Rhinolophus ferrumequinum: one gene and its partner. The protein of the gene in region 1 purifies or fractionates together with the protein of each later gene. This does not show direct contact. Links are inferred from orthologs where the notes say so. Each region holds a gene or a part of one and is shown on either strand. Other genes may lie near its edges.

What was found. Proteins that work in one complex are often made in the same cells at the same time.
Region 2: the proteins of CUL5 (region 1) and SPSB2 purify together in Homo sapiens (affinity purification with mass spectrometry; 4 studies listed by BioGRID and IntAct, counting the BioPlex papers as one, with this or other methods). This does not show direct contact. The link is inferred for Rhinolophus ferrumequinum from reciprocal best matches to the Homo sapiens genes CUL5 and SPSB2.

The regions. Positions count from the first base shown.
Region 1 is NC_046294.1:76,756,488-76,766,210, reverse strand, and holds the start of CUL5 (cullin-5), read right to left. Parts: upstream 5,533-9,723; 5' UTR 4,920-5,532; coding exon 4,896-4,919; intron 4,315-4,895; exon of another isoform or gene 4,208-4,314; intron 1-4,207. UniProt on the Homo sapiens protein: Core component of multiple cullin-5-RING E3 ubiquitin-protein ligase complexes (ECS complexes, also named CRL5 complexes), which mediate the ubiquitination and subsequent proteasomal degradation of target proteins.
Region 2 is NC_046293.1:24,045,936-24,055,658, forward strand, and holds SPSB2 (SPRY domain-containing SOCS box protein 2), read right to left. Parts: upstream 6,171-9,723; 5' UTR 6,021-6,170; intron 5,770-6,020; 5' UTR 5,681-5,769; coding exon 4,874-5,680; 3' UTR 4,033-4,873; coding exon of another isoform or gene 3,905-4,032; 3' UTR 3,681-3,904; downstream 1-3,680. Other genes in the region: TPI1 (triosephosphate isomerase), read left to right, coding at 189-414, 1,551-1,674, 1,787-1,871, 1,946-2,078, 2,379-2,464, 2,771-2,858, 2,987-3,102. UniProt on the Homo sapiens protein: Substrate recognition component of a SCF-like ECS (Elongin BC-CUL2/5-SOCS-box protein) E3 ubiquitin-protein ligase complex which mediates the ubiquitination and subsequent proteasomal degradation of target proteins.

The sequences.
Region 1 (9,723 bases):
TTTTCTGCTAATCTCCAACTGCAAAAAGTCTCCCCATTCTTCAAAATCCAGCTCCAATGCCTTCTCCATTAACCTTTCCCTGATCATTCCACCAGAAATGATCTCCTCGTCTGTGAGGGACCACACAGGATGTGGTAACACTCCTGAAGTTCTTGCCGTAGAGCAAATCATCAGTACTTTTTAATCTCCTTCAGTCTATGGTAAACTCCTAAACAGGCTGGACATTGTTTTACACAGCTTTGTATTCACGATGCCTTGCACATGTGCCCAATACAACTATTTTAATAATGAATAAATTCTACACACACTCTAAATCACTCCTTTGTATTTCTATTTTCTTTCCTCTCAAAGGATAGAAATGTTCCCACCAAGGAAAGCAGTGAGCTTCATATTTCAGTTTAAAGTGTGGATTTTCTTCTGGATTGGTTTTATAACCTCTACCCCCCTTCTTGCTCCCTCTCTCTACACCTAATTAAAAATAAATAAATAAAACCAGAAATTCCTTCTTTTAACCAATCAACACTCACTCACTGAGCATCTCCAGTACACAGGTACTGCACTAGACTTCTTTCCAACCAGTCATCACTCATTTCCGGAGCACGTACCATGAGTGGTCACCACACTAGAGAGTTACGGCATCAACAGATTAATGAAATCCTGGCACTAATGGGGCTTACAATCCAGAAAAGGAGTTAAATATGTAAACAGATCCTGTAACTAATACACAAGGCATAAGGTAAGTGCTAGAAGAGACTGATGCAATGCTATGGTTGTGCATGCAGAGTAGGCAACAATTAATTCCAAATAAGAGCACTCAGAAACAAGGAGGCATCTGGGCTGGGTCTTGATGAATACATAAGATTTTAACAGGGGAGGGGGCATTCCTGACAGAAGAAATAGCAAACATATAAAGAGTCTTGAAGACTCTGGTATGCTAGTGAACCAACAAATAACCAGCCAGGTAGAGAGAGAGAGGTCCGGTGTGGGGAGGGAATATGAATATAAATGTGTTATTAGGGAGAAGACCCAGCTTGGAAGGATCTCAAAGAATTTGAACCATCAAAGGTATCTCAGCAAGAAAGTGATATGGTTAGCACTGTTTTGGTCTAGAGCTCAGATCACAGCTAAGAGATAAAAATAGTGAAATCATGGGAGTGAAGACTGTCCCAGAAAAAAAAAAAGTACAAAGAAAAGGGCTGAAGATTAAATCCTGAGAAATAATTATACTGGGAAGGAGAGAAGGGAGATCAATGAAAAATACAGGTGATTTGCGAGATATGAGACCCAGGAGAGACTGTCATAAACCAAAAGGGAAGTAGAGGTAGTAATCAACAATATCAGAAGGGATAAGTGTATCAGAGAATAACCTCATTTGGCAATCAGGAAATTGCCAGAGCTCTTAAGACTAACAGCTTCAATACAACTGTGTGTGGGGGGAGAGAACAAAGTCACAGTAAGTTAAAAAAGGTGAAGAATTATAAAGGCAGCAAGTGGGTTCTGCTTTTCTAAGAACTGTGATTATGAATAGAAAGAGAGAAAAGGGCAAAAGTTTGAGGCCAAAGCAGAGCACAAGTTTATATGAGGAGTTACATGAACGTTTATCCCCACAGAAGTGAGAATAAAGGAGACAAATAAAAATAACAGGAGGCATGCTGCCGAGACCTGGTGGTGCATGAAGGCAGAACAAGTGGAAGGAGGCAATACAACAGGTGCCTTGGAAAAGAGGAGAACAAGGGGAAACTAGAAAAATTTGTGGTATTGACCCAGGAAGTTAAGGACACCCAAACAGCTGGAAAAAATAATGTGCTAAGAATTAAACGGGGATAATGCTCAGAAAAATAAGATTTAAACAATTGTTATTTGGAAAAGAATATTCAATCGGAAATAAAGAAAATGAGCACTGAGGGCCTAGATAACTGCAAAAGTAAAGAAACAAGTGGAACTATATGGTAAAACAAAAAGTTAAAGTAGTAATACTAAAAAGTTTTTGGAGATCTAAACCACCCAAGCAACTGATAATTGTATTTGTCAAAATGTACAACACAAATCTTTTTATATCCAAAAGATTCCCCAAATCCAGCAATAGTCCACTTGCTTTAAATGGAGAATACAATTATTACAAATTCCAAAATAAAAAAAGTAGGTGGTTTTTATTACATTGGGTTCTGACTTATAAGTTCCACATCAAAGTTTTGAATCTTGTTATCTTTCATAACATATTGGCTTTCATATTAGCTTCTTATTATCTTTCATAACACATTCCTCTGAACTCTGTCATCCACAAATTCAATAAACTTAACCTAATCCAAGTTACTGGTAAATAGGTAGAGGACATTATCTTTCAGCAGGACGGTAAAGGCCTCCCTTCAGGTACAGTTGTTTAACTGATAATGAATCAAATTCTACTTGTATTCTCACCTCGCCCACATACCTCCATTTTGGTCATAGGACATGATAATTCTGTCAAATATGCTGTGGTGAAATCTAATTACACAATGTCTCAGGCAGTGTTCTAAGGAACCAGTCTATGAATTCTGTCAAGAAAGGAAATGAGGCTAACGTGGCCACTTCCTAGCCAGCCCTGTCTCTGTTCAACGCAGCACTAGCCTTGAATTTAAATGACCCTCTGACTTATGTTATGGCTCCACCCTGGCAAGGTCACATTACATTTCTCCAAGACAAACTTCCCAGTTTTTAATTAGTTAATTCTAGATATAAGAATTTAGGGCAATTCCCCTTCCCCCCAATAAGAAGAGAAGGAAAGATTTCCGGCCAATTTAAATATGTAAACTTTTGGTGATACAGATAAAAGAATTAAACGTGTATTTACATTGTCCATTATATTCCCTTAGTTGTACATATTTAAAATCACATAGGATATAAAATAATATTTAAAAATTCTTTTTCCCCCTTTCAACATTTCATAAAACAACTTTATTGAAATTTTCCCAGTGCATCTTTGGCATCTGTTTTCACGTTCACTAGAATGACTGAGGAATTTACCAGTTTTTTCAAAGCACTGCCACCTTCCTTTTATTTATAAAAGTTGTTTGAATTACAGAACTTCTGAATTCTTGTTATCCTTTTAACCTAAACACTAAGTGTCCATTTTCTATATATTCAAGCAGCTTTTTTATTCTATAGATGTATGCTGTAGATGTAGATTCATAATCTCTACAAAGTAACCACTTAGTAGTGTTGACTGATATAACTTCAGACTTGTATCTCCTCCCAACAATCCTTTGCAAAGCTTTGTATGGGGTAGAATAAAGTAAAAGGCTCTTTGCTGAGATAATTGGGGGGTGGGGAAAGACTGCTGTATATGCATGTAATCCAGTCAAAAATTCAAAGAATCAGGAACCCAATTATTTTTTTCATGATTTCAATTAATAGCATAAGCGATTGCTTATGTAATCATGCAGACGCTTTAATAGGAGTCTTTAGAAGTTAAACAAGTTTTCTTTCTGAACTAATATATTAAAATTTGCAATAATGTTACAAAAGACGAGTCCAGTAGGATGGGTTACTCAATTCCGTTATTTAGTTTTCTTAGAGAAACAAGAGTAGTGATTCTAGTAATTTAGGTGTATTGTGTACTAATTAAGTCCCAGTCACGGTTTTAACCATTTTATATACATTAACTCAATCTTCAAAACGCTCCTATGAAACAGGTTCTATTAATAATTCCATTTCATTGATGAGGAAACCTAGGCCGAGATTAAGAAACTTGCCGGAAGTCACACAGCTTCTAAGTGGCTGAAATTCAGTCTAGTTCTAGGCCCCTCCCCCATTTAAAGGAAGATAATATTATTGCCTCTTAAGTTAGTTAAAACAGTTCTACATTTTATAGGACAGTCCCATCTATCAGGCAGTTAACATCAGTAGTCTAAAAAAGGACATGAGTGAGGTTCCGGTATATTTTAACATATTTTCTATTCAATTATTTTCCACTATCCATCCTCACGGCCTGAATGTATAATGATGGGTTCGAGGGGAGTACTTCATCCTTTGTATATATGTTCCCTGAGCTAATCAGACCAATTCAGTAAATACTTTTAAGGCAAAACGTTCCTACTATAAACACAAGCACAGAATAAACAGATTAGTGCCTTTTCTCGTTTTCCTCCAAACGTTTTAATTGATAGTAGAGAATCTGCTCCTGACTCTAGATCTCCCTTGCTATCCCAAATATATAAAACTAACTAACCGTTTTCTTTGATAAGGTAACTTTCCTAAGCCCTAAAGCGATGGCAGCACTTCCTCAGTACCGTAGTCATCTGGTTGTGTGCTGTAGTGGGGCTGAGGAGCAGTTTCCTAAGGAAAAAAGGGTAAAATATGAACTCGAGAATGGGAGAGTAGGAGGGAAAGTACAGCGTGCAGAAAGGGACGGCGGGAGTGGAGTGGATGGCAGTGCTTGCCGTCTGACTTAGAATTCCGTGCAGAGAGAATAAGAACTGAAATTAAGGAGGTGGGGGTCGTCATTGATCCCTATGTCAGGCAGCATTTTCTTGGATTTTCCTTTTATACGTCTTAGACTCTCGCTTCAGAACAAACCGAGACCCTAAGAGTACTAACTGCCCAATCGGTCACGGCAAAGCACCACCATTCATCTCCCGTCCGAGGCCAGAGCTGGTCCATTGAAAGCATCGCTACCCGCCATCCCTCAGCTGGGCCTTTCACACACCGGTCAACCGGCCCGAGGGACAACCAGAGCCTCTCGACCCCAAGGCCAGGGACCCGCGTTCCGGTCCTGGGCGGCAGCTTCCCCGGCCTCCCTTCCGGTAGACAACCCCTGAACACTCCTACAATTTGCCCCTAAACCCGATCCGAACCTTTCCCAAAGAGCTGAACCCAGCGGTCGCGAAGTAAAAGCCAAGCTAGCCTGAGGGTCTTACCTTTAACAGATGAGACGTCGCCATGTTCCTTCAACTTAGATTCTCGCGAGACGTAGCGAGATTTCGTGGCGCCCCGGGCCAGGCCACAACCGGAGGCCGGAGTTGTCCCACCAGGGCCGACGGGCCCACCGGCCCGCACCGGGGGTGTGGTGGGCGCCGGGCGGCGTGCAGACAGCGCTGACTTCGTCCCAGGCTTCCTCACTCTTTCCCCCTACATGGTCACCGGAGCTTCCCCACACGAAAGAGCTCATGCAAACGCTCAGGGAGACGGCGACGGTGAATGGTGAGAAGGTAACGGGAGCCGACCTGAATTGGAAGAGGAAGCATCGACTCCACGACCCTCCCCACTTCTTCGGATTAGCCTTTGTGGTTGCACCCGCAGCGGCCACCGGCAACGAATTTAGCTCGGCTTAGGCCCGGCAGCTCAGGTTCCACCGCCGCATCACGTGACGCGGCGGGCGGGGGCGCGCTCGGGAGCGAGCGTGGGAGCCTGGAAGCCTTGGTGGGCCGAGAGGCTGCAAAGAGGGTGGGATCACGCCCTCTGCTGGCGAGACCAGGCCAGACCCTTTATTCCCCGCCCCAAATCCCGCGACTTGAGTGTTAAGGGAGGTATCTTACCCCAATGAAATGCTTGTAACAGCTGTCTTCCATAAGAACTGGCCATAGAAACCGCCCCATAGATATGTGTTGGATGAATACATGAATGAATGAATACATGAATGAATGAAATGTTGACTATTAACTATTTTTTTAATAGACAACAGAAACTTATTTCTCTGTTCTGGAGGCAGGAAGTCGGAGATCAGAATGCCAGCATGGTTGGGTGAGGGCCCTCTTTTAAGTTGCAGAGATCTTACATGGCAGAAAGGGCCTTAACTATTAATATTTCTATTCAAGTGTGTCTCGCACTAAAATAATCTATGAAAGACTGTTTGGGCAATGAACGTTAACCTTGGATTTCCTGAAGGCGTTGTCCCAGAAGATCCTAAACCATAAGCCCCCAAGCATTATCCCTTCAGATCACAAGGGACTGGCCAAAGGAAGAGAATATAATTTATATGTGCAACCTACAATATACCTGGTATTGTATTATACATTTTTACTAGCATTCATGATATGTTGGAAGTAAATAAGAGCTATGTAGTAAAATAAAACGGAAGGGAAGGATGAAGTTGGAAATTTTAAATACAGTGATTCAAGTAGTCCTCACTGAGAAGATGGCATTTGAGCAAAGACTTGAAAGAGGTAAGGAAGAAGCCAGGTCATTTGTGGGAGAAGAGTATCCCAGAGAGGGGAAGCACAGAGAGTAGGTTGCCAAGAGTATCCGAGAAATAGTGAGAAGGTTGGTGTGTTCAGGGCAGAGAATAAGGCGATCAGAAGATTATATAGGGCCTTGTAGACCACCCATAAAGACTGGCTTTTACCTGAGTGAGATAGGGAATCATTGCAGGCTTTTGAACACAGGAATGGCATGATCAAACTCCCATTTTAACTCTCACTGCTATGGAGTGAATAGAAGCAGAACTGTAATTTGGAAAGCTTATGTAATACTTCACTAAATCAACATAACTTTCATGCCATCTGGGTGTCTCCATTTTACAAATGACTTAGTAGAGAGCAATACACTATTAAACAATGAGTAAATGGTAGGACAAGGATTCAGAGCCACTATGCCTGTGTGTTCTGGCAGAATGTTAACACAGGGATGACTCTTACCATAGAGGTCACCTTTGTTCTACAGAGGACAAAAATGAGGCTCAGAGAGGTTATCCTGCCAAAGTCACTCAACTGGGTCAGAGAAAAAGGCCTAGTCCAGAATAAACTTTATATAATCATGGTTCCCTTTTCCTGTGAAACTGGGTTATCTTCAACTGTAGTCCAACTCTACTGCTTAATTTAAAATGTAAGACTCTTGATTAAATTATAATCAGTTTTATGTACCCTAAAAAAAGTCCGAAGACACTATGATGTAATAATTGAATAAATCAATTAATTAATGACCCTACTTAAAGAATCCAATTAAGTATTTAATACTTGTTTGAGTACCCACTACAGGCATACCTCTTTTTATTGCTCTTCACTTTATTGCACTTCACACTTGTTGCATTTTTACAAATTGAAGGCAAGACTCCCACACATCTTTATTTTCACTCAGCTGTGTGATATAAATTACTGAAAAGTATGTTTGTGCGTACTTTTTTCACACTTTCTTGTAGAAATGCAAACAATTACCAGCAGGCCCTAATGCATCCCTTGTGTCCACGATGTTTGGGATTATTACTTCCACAATAGGCTCTGGAAGTCTATTTTAAATACAACAGCTATAAAACAAAGCTTTTGATTTGTAAAAAGCAAAGCAAAAGACAAAAAGCTTTTTTACATGTAAAGATAGTATATAAAGTTTAATCAATACACTGTATATTGATTAGAGAACTGGTGAAAAACTAGATGGGGCACCAAGGGTTTGCAAGATTTGGGAGTGGAAGAGGGAGGACAGAAACAGCCCCAAGAGATGGAGGAGAATGATTGTTGGGGTCTCCCAGATCTCTGTATACCACATGGAGAAAAAGAGTCTGTCTCAAAAGACTATCCAGGAAGATCCATGGGAGCCAATCCTAAGCCTAACCCTAACCGGAATCTAACCATATCCCTATATCAATTTCTATCCTTATTCCTAAGCCAGAAGATCCTTCTTTGCTGTGCCAGGAAATGCCACACATTGCTTGTGCTGAGAGGTGTGTTAGTTGTCTTTCTTGAGAGAGGGTATCTCGGAGGCAGCTTTCTCTATATTGCCTGTAAGACAGTTACCTGTGCTTTAAGTCTGCGCTCAGCCCATGAATCTGCTCTGGTTGAATGACCATCCCCCTCCATGGTCCAAAACACTTCTAAGCTCCACTCTCCCTTCTAGAAAATGGGGCCCTGGACAAGGAAGTGAAAACCCCACTAGCAACTATGAAACTGAACAGAACCATCCTAAGATTTCCATGGGACCAGGTCCAGAGTGAAACTCTCACAGTCCAATTTATACATACGAGTATATTACATAATCATTTTCTTGCAAATGTCTTAAACAACAGATATTCTGAAGTTTAAGAAGAAATGAGAAAAGAATATAGAAGGGAGAGTGAAGAGATAGAGGAAATGCGTTCTGATTCCTGGGCAGTCCCAAGGACCCAATTGAGAGTAGTGGCCCTGAATTTTAGTTGCGACTACTTGGCATAGCTAAGGAAACTAAGACAGCAGGGTTAAGTAAGACACCTCAGGTCTCACTGCTCTTGAGTAGCAGGACCTGTTTCGTTCTAAAGCCACATTCAGACACTCAAGTGCAGGCACTGAATTGATACACACTAGGCTCCAATCCAGGTTAGGGTTTTGTTGACAGAGGATGTTGCAGCGAGTTGAGCATATGTGTAAGAGTATGATGATTGACCATGGGGTTAAAATTGAATCTGGAGGGTGAAAAACTGAAAATATAGTAGGATTAAAGTACTGTATGGGTGAGAGACGAAGGGTTGTTGGAATGAAGATACCAGAGGGAGTAAGTTGGGAAGATAGGAGCAGGTGGCTGGAGGGTGACATTGAGCTTAGGCTGTTATCGGTTGCAGTTATTGGTAATGACAAGGGCTAAGCTATGATCAGGGAGACAGTAGTGAGGTAGGGTGGAGAACAGGATCACTGGGACAGACGAGGCCAGGGAACTGAGAAGCCAGGCATTCTCATGGTGTCCTAGTCACATCCCCTTGATCTACTTCTGATTTCAGTAGCAGCTATGATGGACATTTCAGACTCCCCTGACAGCTTCCCACCCGAAAAGGGCACCTCTCCTTTCTTCTTTCACCTCAGGGTCTTCTCTGAAGGCCCAGCAGCCTGCTAGGTTCACAGGAAAGTACAGCAAAGTGTGGGGAAGATAAAGCTCCTGAGAACAACCCTTAACTAACAGGTCAGAAGCCAGTGAATAAGTGCGTCAGCCTCTGGTCCTCATGCAAACAATTTTGTGGGGCACTCAGGATGCTTCGCAGAGGTCTCAGTGGACTCAAGTTTCTTTCATTCATGGTAGTGACCTTAATGCCACACCTTTACAGAGGCTTTTCCTCCTTATCTTATTCTTCTTGCTCCCTGGTTCCTGCTTTCTGGGTTATCTCCCAAATAAACCATTTGTAACCGAAGTCCTTGTTTCAGGGTCTACTTTCAGGAGAAACCTTACTACAACACCAGGGTTTTAAAAATCTTCTGTGTGAATATTGAAATCACTAAGAATTATGACAGGAGTAGTGTTGGAGAGAATGATAGTGAGTCAGTATCTAAATTAATTAAGGAATGATGGAGTATGACCTGGGGGGGTCAGTACATGATTATGGCAAGGAGAGTTAATGGATGTATGGTCCATTGACACCAGACTCCAAGCTGAGTGCTTCTAGGGAAGAGGAGAGAAGGATGATTTAGAAATGGCAGTGGGGAACAAAGAAGACCATCACATGACCTCCAGGCCCAGTGGTACATTAGCCATCTCAAGAGAGAGATGCAGGAAAAGCAGTGACTTCAGGAAAGAATCAAGTTCCACTTAGAATAAGGAAGTAAAGGAACCGTTAAGAGAAGAGTTTGAGGATACGGAGGATTTCACTGCTTGTCCAGAGGTCAGAGGTTGGGGAAATGGAATCAAAAAGGGGTAAGTGATGAAGTGTACCCAGATGAGGGGTGACCTAGGTATAGGGGCTTCTTGCAGAGACTGACATAAAGCTAAAGGCATAATGATATTGGTTTTAATGGTGGAAGGGCAGATAGTGGGGGTGTGTCATGACTAGGCAGGGGTGGGGATCTTGCCAGAAAC
Region 2 (9,723 bases), on another chromosome or scaffold:
GTGGGGGGATTCTCCGAGAGCAGGGGCTCACAGTTCTCACATTCTCTCGAAAGTTCGGCAACAGGCTGAAGTGACTGAACCCCTACGCCCCTAGAACGTTGCTACAAGAAAGGGTAACAACAGAACGCTGCCACTTGAGCGGCGGGCGGGCCGGGGGGAAGGACTTGCCGGCAGGGGCCGGGCTAACCATGGCAAAGGACGGGGAGGAGGCGGAGTTCTACCTCACCGCACTCTATATAAGCGGGCAGTGGCCGCGGCTGCGCGGTGATACTGACCTTCAGGGTAGCGGCTCCAGCGCCATGGCGCCCTCCAGGAAGTTTTTCGTGGGGGGGAACTGGAAGATGAATGGGCGAAAGACGAGTCTGGGGGAACTCATCAGCACTCTGAACGCCGCCAAGTTGCCAGCCGACACCGGTAAGCCTTGTCGGGGAGGGATCTGGCTGGTGGGGGAGGGCGGGCGTGGCAGCGCCCTCTCCCGGGCCACCTGATGTCCTCGTAGACCTGGATGCAGGGCTGGGGACGAGGGCTGCTGGGGATCTGGACATTGACCCAGCAGCGCCGTGGCCCTGCAGCCGCGTACCTGGCGTGTGTCGAGGGGGAAAAGCAGGGCCACATTTTCTGGTGCCTTCGGAGAGTGGAGCGGGAAAGGACTTTTTGGGTCTTCGGGAGGAAGATGGCCCCGGGGCACGGACTGGGCTGCACCACGAGGAGTCCGGGGTGGAAGCGAAGGCTAGCCCCAGCCGGCTACGGGAGAGGCTGGCAACAGCCTCCAAGTGTGTGTGTATCGTGGGGGAGGCGGCTGAGTGGGCGTGCGGGCGACCAGCTACCTACCCCTGGGCCCGGCTCCGCGCGCTGCCGCACGTAGGCCGAGACTCCTCCCCGCGCTTTGCCAGCCGGTGGAGTGCCCCCCGCCACGCTGCTTTGGCCTCAGGAGCGCCCAGCTCTAATCCTTTCCCCGGGGCAGCCTGGAGGACTCCTGCCTTCCGTAGAAAGGGGCTGAGCTGTTGGGAATGAGTCATCCTACTCCTTCCAACCTGGAACCGGGAAAGTGCAGGGCCTCTGTAAGCTGGTGCTGTCCTCAGTCCTTCCATCCACCTAAATCACAGAACCACGGACTGGATCAAAAAGGCATCCTTTTTTATTCCCTAGAGACCCCAGTATAAACCCCAGGGGTTGGCCCCTTCTGCTTTTGCTAAAAATCCTTGCCTTGCCTGAGGGAGGTGGGGATGGGCTATTTTAGGGGGAGGCGGGGTTGGCCCCCAGAGAATGCTGAGTCTAGGAGGTACCCAGACCCAGAATAGCCCAGGGAAATCGGAGCCACAGCTTTGAAAAGAGCAGAGGGCAGGGTGAGGGCCATGGCCTCCCAGGGGCACTTGCAAGGGTCTAGGACTTGGGAACAGGCCCAGTCTGGGCTCAGTATGGACAAAAATCCTCTTGCTGGCGTGAAAAGAGAAGGAAAGTAGAACTAAGAAAGCTGGTGAAGGCTAGGGGGCTCCAGAGCACTGGATGGAGTTTGGAGAATGACGACTTCCTTGTGATCTCACCCTCAGAGGTTGTTTGTGCACCCCCCACTGCCTACATTGACTTCGCCCGGCAGAAGCTAGATCCCAAGATTGCTGTGGCTGCACAGAACTGCTACAAAGTGACTAATGGGGCCTTTACTGGGGAGATCAGGTGAGATGTAGGTGAGGCCCGGGGTGTGGGAACCCTGCCCTCACCTTCCTCATTGAGTGGAAAGCCACAGGTGGGCTCCCTGTGGAATTGTGGCTTCCATCTCTTTCTTTAGCCCTGGCATGATCAAAGACTGTGGAGCCACGTGGGTAGTGCTGGGGCACTCGGAGAGAAGGCACGTCTTTGGGGAGTCAGATGAGGTTAGTAACCTGGAGAGGAGGTAAGAGATGCCGTATTCCAAGAGTGGTGTCTCACCAAGTCTGTTCCTCAACAGCTGATTGGGCAGAAAGTGGCCCATGCCCTGGCTGAGGGACTTGGAGTGATCGCCTGCATTGGGGAGAAGCTAGATGAGAGAGAAGCTGGCATCACTGAGAAGGTCGTTTTCGAGCAAACCAAGGTCATCGCAGGTATCTCTGGAGAAAGGGATCTATAAGCCTAGCCAGGGCCACGGAGGCACAGAGGGTGAGGTCAGATGCCCTGCAGCCTGACTGATTCCCTTGCTGATACTGGAACAGAAAGGGGAAGGTGGGAACCCTTCCCTATCACCTATGCTCCTGCTCCATGGCTTTGATGCCTCTTGGAGTTCCTTCAACAGCCACCAGGGGGCAGAAGGCCATCCTTGTTCTTTAGTCCATGGGTATCTATCTACCTGGCCAAATAGCTCCTTCCTGTTCACCCTTCTTCCCTCTGTGATCTCTGTCCCACAGATAACGTGAAGGACTGGAACAAGGTGGTTCTGGCCTATGAGCCCGTGTGGGCCATTGGTACTGGCAAGACTGCAACACCCCAACAGGTAACAAATCCCAGGGGCCCCCCCTTATTCCTACCCTGCCTCAGCAGAACTGGCAACCACAGAGACCATCTGGGCCAGCCCCTCATTTTAAAGACAGGAGCCCCCAAGCCCAGAAAAGGAGAGTGATTTGTCCAACGACGTCCATTCTAGGGCCTGGGGGGTGATCGGAGCCCTGGTGTTACGGCTTGGATCCCAGGATTTCTGGGATTCCCTGAAACCACACTGCCTCTCTACGGGTGCCCAGGGATTTTTCCCCTTTGAGGGAAAGGCTGAAAGAGTCTTATTTAGTCTGGCTTCTTGTTCTAGGCCCAGGAGGTACACGAAAAGCTCCGGGGATGGCTTAAGTCCAACGTCTCTGATGCAGTGGCTCAGAGCACCCGCATCATTTATGGAGGTGAGTAGGTTTGGCTCTAGCCTGACGTGGGGTAGACAGAGAACTAGACTGATCCCTCAGACATGGAGGTGGGGATGGAGTATGCCCATCCCATCCCTGACCATTCCCCCTTTCTTTTCCCTTTCTAGGTTCTGTGACCGGGGCAACCTGCAAGGAGCTGGCAAGCCAGCCTGATGTGGATGGCTTCCTCGTGGGTGGTGCATCCCTCAAGCCTGAATTTGTGGACATCATCAATGCCAAATAATAAGCCCCATCCATCTCTGCTACCCTTCCTGCTATGCCAGGGACTACGTAGCTCAGAAGCCCCGTAACTGTACCCCGCTTCCCACACATGCTTCTGATGGTGTCATCTACCCCCTCTTGTGGCCTAATCCAAATTATACCTCTTCCTTTACCGTTTACACCTTATCCCATAATGGTTGGGACCAGGCCAATCCCTTCACTTATTGTAATGGTTGGAATAAAACATGTCACCAAGGTGGCTTCTCCTTGACTGAGAGGTAGAAGGGGTGGAGTTTGTTTGTGGGTCCCCTTAGTCCCCGGTAAAGGCAGGAGAAGCCACCCTTCTCTCCCATCTCGCACCATGGGGACAACAGCTTAGAGCCCTGTCGACCCCTCAGAGGCCAGGGGTGTTGTCCTTGCCCCTAGTGCCAATGCCTGTGTGTGTTGTGTATGTGATCAGTCCCACCTGGGGAGAGGGGAAATAAACACCTGGCACTAAGCCTTGTGATTCGTCCTTTACTCCTGTACTTTTCTCCACACCATCTCTTTCCTTTTTTGAGACGGCCACAGGACTCGTGCAAAAAAAATACCACGAACAGGTTTTTACGGTAGCACATCTCTTACTGTTTTTACTTGAAAAAAAGTCTGTGTACCAGGCCACCACAGTCTTAAATAAACAGCTCCCTCCACCCTCTGGGTAGCTTGGGTTGGGATAGGGGCCCAGCCTCACTGGCTTTAAGTAGCTGGTCTAGGCCAGCCGTGCCTCCTCCCTGGCCCCTGGGAGGGGTGGCATCAAGGCCCCATGCATCTGTGGTATCACAGGGTCACTGGTAGAGCAGATAGCGCTTCATGGCAGGGGGCAAGGGCAGAGCAGATACCTGGCCCAGCCGAGTAGCCCCCAGTGCTTGGCGCACGCACACGCGGCTCAGGTGCAGAAGGGAGTGTGGCTCCGCTGGGAGAGAGAAGGAGGGGAAGGTAAGTAGGGGTGCAGCCACCAGCCAGACATCCTCAGACTACAGGGTTCCCTTCTGCTTTCCTGTGCCAAGTCTGCTTGGTTGAGAGGGAGATCTAAGGCCCCCTGAAGTTCTGCATCTGCTCTTGGGGTGGGAGGCATCACATCCCCAGGCAGAGCTGGGGGTGATGCTCTAGCTAAGGCCCTCTAAGCAACTGTCCAAGGTGGCTCTGACGGGTAGAGCTGGCCCAGGCTTTGATTCCAGACAGGCCTTGGGGCTGGGGCTGATAAGCTGAAAGGATGGCCCTCCATTCTGTAACAGCTCATCATGGGTGATGGGAGAAGCATCCAGCCTCTGCTGAAGATTACAACTTCGGAGAACAGGTAACTTCAATCAGCTCCAAGCCTTGGCTGCATTAATTTCCCCAAGAAAACCCCGCCCCTGCAGCACCACCCAAACCTTGCCTCCACTGCTCTCCTCTGGCCACCGGCACCGGGCCTTAATGTCTCCTTCCTGGGAAGTCTACCTCTGAGGAAGTAAGTATGTGTCACAGGTCAGAGCCCAGGAAATCTGGTACACACCCTGGGTGGCTGGTACACACCCTGGGTGGCTGGCACTGCCAGTTCTCTTTCTTTTGGACTTGTACACCTAGCCTAGTACCCATTTAACCCTTTGCACCTCTGTTTCAGGGACTCATAGCTCCTCTAAAGCCCTAATCCCAGGAGTACCTCCCTCCACTCTTGAGGACTCACCACTTACTAGCAAGTTGATTTCCCAAGACCCACTTTTTACCTTTATTGCTGTTGGGAGGATTAAATTAGGTAACAGCTGTGAAGACCCTTAGCCATTCCTGGCACTGAATAGGGGTAGAAGGTCGGTCAGATGAGGGCTCGTTCCCTCTACGCTTGCAAAGATGTTGAGCTTCCAACCCAAACCACAGCCACCAGTAACAGAACACTTCCCACACCTGCCCCAGGCCTCACCTCTCCTTTCACCCAGGTAGCTGATGCGGACCTGGCACTGGCCCCAGACAGCGCTTACTGCTGGATAGAGGGTCCTGCCCTTCAGTCCCCGGAAGGCTGGCCCCAGGTAGGTTCCCCCAATAGCGTAGCCCAGAGTTCCCTCCTCCATGTCCAGAACCACCAGCAGCCTCTCCGGCACTTCCAGCTGTTCACCCTGAGGTCCGGCTGGATATTGAGGGGCACCGGGCCCCTTGCACTGATGGTACAGCTTCCCCCGCCCAATGTCCCAGCCCCATGACTCGCTGTTGCTGCCCAGCAGCGCCGCGTAGTGGTCAGCCTGCAGTGGGGCGAGGGCCGTGGCCACGCCCACCACAGCGTGGGTGCCCCTCTGCTCCTGGGGCCAGCTGATCTCCCAGGCGTGCAGGCCCCTCGAGTAGCCCCTCTTACCCCGGGCCCCATCAGTGCTCTGGGCCACGGGCCGCCGCTCAAAGCACAACCCCTCTTCCTTGACCTCGATGTTTTCTGAGCAGTCCTTGGGGTTCCACCCGTGGCGCCGTTGGGTCCCCAGGTCAGGAGGGGGAGCAGATAGCAGCTCCTCCAAGCCTTCCGGACAAGAGAGGTCGGGGCACAGGGCCTGTGAGGTAAGGGTGCCGTTGTTGCCCCCTGCCAGGGCCGTCTGGCCCATGGAGGTGAGGAGCTGGGGGACTCCCCGAAAGAGTCTTGCTGGGGCGTCTCGTCTCCCTTCTGCAAGTTGAGTTCCTGTTCGGTATTGACCTGGAGAGGAATTGGGAGAGAAGAGGGTGTGAAGTGCACGATCCTGGCGGAGGGGGCTCCTCACCCTGGCGCCTCATCCTTTCACCACGCGTTTGCCCACTGCCCCGCTCCTCCCTCTTCGTTCCCCCAAAGCTCCTCGGCCCATCACCTTGCCCTCACCCATCTGTCCCCGTCTCCCGAGATTCTCGCGAGTTCGTCCCCTTCGAGCCTCTCTAGGAGCCATCCCCTCGCCCTCCCCCTGCCCGCCTCACCGCTCCCGAACCTCGCTTGGCTCCCCAGGCCCGGAGGTCGCCGGGCCTCAAGAGGAGCCCGGCCGAAAGTCGCTACGCGCACCGGGCGCAGAACGCCAGGCGCAGAACGCCGGCCGCTTCCGTGTACAGCGCCGCCCCCAGGTCTCACCCAGGCCCGAGGCCCCGCCCCACGGGGGCCCTCTAGTTGCCGCCGCAGGTCGCGCTCCGCCCCGAGGCCACGCCCCCTCTGGGAGGCTCTCGCGGGCGGTTAACCCTTCTCTTACATCACTTTAGGATTCTTGGAGGTCTGTTCTCCACAGGCAAAACCTTTGAGCAGCTGGGCAATCAACTCCCGATCCCCTAAAGATGAGGGGCATAGGGTCAAAGGGGGGGGGGGGGATTGTGTTTCATTGTGCTGACCTCTATTTCCGTGGTCCTATGATTCTGGATCATTGTTTCTGGGCAGATTTCTTTCTGACCCAGTTTTGAGTCACCCGGTTCTAAGTCTGAGGTCCGAACACTTGTGTTTCGGTTCTGAGCGGTAGGTGTCATAGGTCGCCATGCTGTTCTAGTCTTCATCCTGGATGTCAATCCATTCCTGAGCTGTTGGTCTCATTTGGGAGAGTGTAGTGGTTAAACCTTGGTTGTGGGGGAAGCTATGCCACTAATTAGCTGTGTGACCTTGGAGAGGTTGCCAAACTTCTCTAAACCTGTTTTCTCTTGTGTAAAATGGGAATAATGGTGGTACTTACTCATAGGGTTGTAATGGAGTTGAAATAATCCAGGTAAAGCACTAAATGTGTACGCACTCACTAAGCATAGCTATTATGTTTATTTAATGTTTAGTAAGTGCCCACTCTATAAAGAGGCAATATAATATAATGGTGAAGGATGCCTACTGTGTATCCGGGCTGACTGGATGTGAATACCTGAAGGCCAGCATGCACATGACCTTGGGCAAATTTCTTAACGTCCCTGGTGCTCTTTCTTCCTCTGTAAAACGGAAATGCTGTTGGTATCTACTGCATACAGTGTCATGAAGATTCAGTAAGTTTTTTCTAAAGCACAGCTTCTGGTTCAAATGTAATCATTTGTGCTAAGCACTGAAGTTTAAGCAGTGAATCCTCAAGGAGGTTACAGGGACATTTATAAAAACAGTTTATCAAGTAGTAGATGAAATTATGGAGATATAAAGAAAATATATCGGGGGCCGGCCCGGTGGCTCAGGCGGTTAGAGCTCCATGCTCCTAACTCCGAAGGCTTCCGGTTCGATTCCCACATGGGCCAGTGGGCTCTCAACCACAAGGTTGCCAGTTCAATTCCTCGACTCCCACAAGGGATGGTGGGCTGTGCCCCCTGCAACTAGCAACGGCAACTGGACCTGGAACTGAGCTGCGCCCTCCACAACTAAGACTAAAAGGACAACAACTTGAAGCTGAACAGCACCCTCCACAACTAAGACTGAAAGGACAACAATTTGACTTGGAAAAAAAAAGTCCTGGAAGTACACACTGTTCCCCCAATAAAGTCCTGTTAAAAAAAAAAAAAAGTATATGGGAGTAAAAAGGATGGGACTCCTAACTAGGAAAGTGTCCTGGAGGAGATGACACTGGGTTGAATCTTAAAGAATGCCTAGTAATTGGCCTGAGAGGTGTTTTTGCAGGATGGGGTGAGGTTAGAGTTGCTGCATGTAGAACGTATTCCAGACAGAGCTGGCTTGAAAAAAAGCCAGGAGTGGTAGTTGGATCTGGGGAAGTTTGAAGTCTTCATTCAGGGTTGCTGCAGCAAGAAAGGAAGCAGGGACAAGCCTAGAGAAGTCAGAGCCAGATCATGAAAGCCTTGTAGGCCAAGTTAAAGAACACAAGTGTTAGCCTCTGGACAGGCCAGGAATGGGGAGAAGCAGGAGAGGAACATGGCCAGATACTTATTTTAGAAAAACCACCCTGACAGCAATGTTGAGGAGGCTTTGAGAGTAATAGGACATTAAAAATCAAGGCTGGTTCTAGCAGCTCAGGTGACAAGTGTCAAGAACCTGAAATAGGGCAGTAGAAATAAGGATGAAAAGAATTCAAGAAACACTGATGGAATTGCAAAGTTTGGTGACAGATTAGACGCTGAGGCCAGAGAAAGGAAAGAAAGGGAGGTTTCCAGTCTGGAAGTCTGTTGGAAGTTGGTGCCACTAATGAAGATGGAGATGACAGGAAGAGTAGCAATTGGGAGTAGGAGTAGGAGGGTGGGAGAGAGATGGTGAGTTCAGTTGAGGACATGTTTTTGAGGTAGCTGAGCAACAACTATATGGAACCATTTGAACACACTTGAAAATGGCAGGTCTGGAGAGGGAGAGGCCTTGGGCTAGAGATATAAATTTGGGAGGTGAGTCAGCCTTTATTCAAGAGTTGAAATATGAGAATCAATGAAGTGACTTGGAGACAGTATGTAGAGTGAGAAGAGGGTCAAGGAGGATACTGTGCAGCAGAAAATTCAGGTTTGATTACGTACAAAATTTTTTTGGTCATTGGCTACTTTGGTGAGACAACACATGTGGGTAGTGGGAGATGGGAATCCAGGCTGAAGGGGCTAAACTGGCACTTTCTGTGTGTTGGGCACTGTGCTACAAGCTTCACATTTTGGGGGGATAGAAAGTTGGGAGAGGTGAGGTGACAATTATTCTCATAGTCAAAATTACCCTTGAAAATCCCTTACTCCATCATTTAGGTACAACATATGTTAGTTTTGAGTAAAATACAATATGTGGCAGTATACATACAGTATATGTACAGTGAGATGCAGGGTAAAATTTTATACTATTTTAATTTTTAAAAAAAGGAGAAAGCATATTAAAAAGAAAGATGTGAACCTGAACACTTGTCATCCACACAACCTGGATATTCTTGCTAATGTGACAACAAAAATAATGACATCATGACTGTGGATAGTGGCCTGTGATGAGTATTAGTGCAGGATCTGTGTGATAACCAAATGGATGAAGGCTTAGGGAACAGAGAGTGAGACTATGCCACGGCTGACTCTAGTTCAGCTTGAAAAGTTGATCACACTTGCTCAGCAACTGGTTGTTTCATGCATGGTATTCACCAATTGTTGCCACTCGATCTTGAACTGCTCAAACATTTGTTGATAATAGCTCAAATATTCCATAATGTTACAAGTAATTTTAAAACTTTGTATTGATATATAACATATATAAAGTACACTAATCTTAAACTGCTCAATGAATTTTTACGTATTTATATGTTGTGTGACCACCATTTCCAGCATCAAGATCAGATATATTTCCAGCATCCCAGAAAGCTCCTTCTTGCCCTTTTCCTAACACTACACCCCTAAAAGTAACTACCATTTGACCTCCGTCAGTATAGATTATCTTTGCCTTTTCTTCTATTTCATATAAATAAAACCATTTAGTATCTATTCTTTTGTCTGGCTTATTTTTCTCAACATTATGTCTGTGAGAGTCATCTGTGTTGTTGCATGAAATAGTAGCTCATTATTTTCATTGTTTTACAGTATTCTATTATACGAATATACCACAATGTATTTATTCTACTGTTGATGGGCTCTGAGTTGTTTCCAGTTTTTAGCTATTATAGAGAAAGCTACTATGTATAGTATTATACAAGTCTTTTGGTGGACGTAGGCACTCAATTTTATTGGGTGCATACTTATGTGCAAAATTGCTGGGTTATAAAAACTTACCATGTATGCG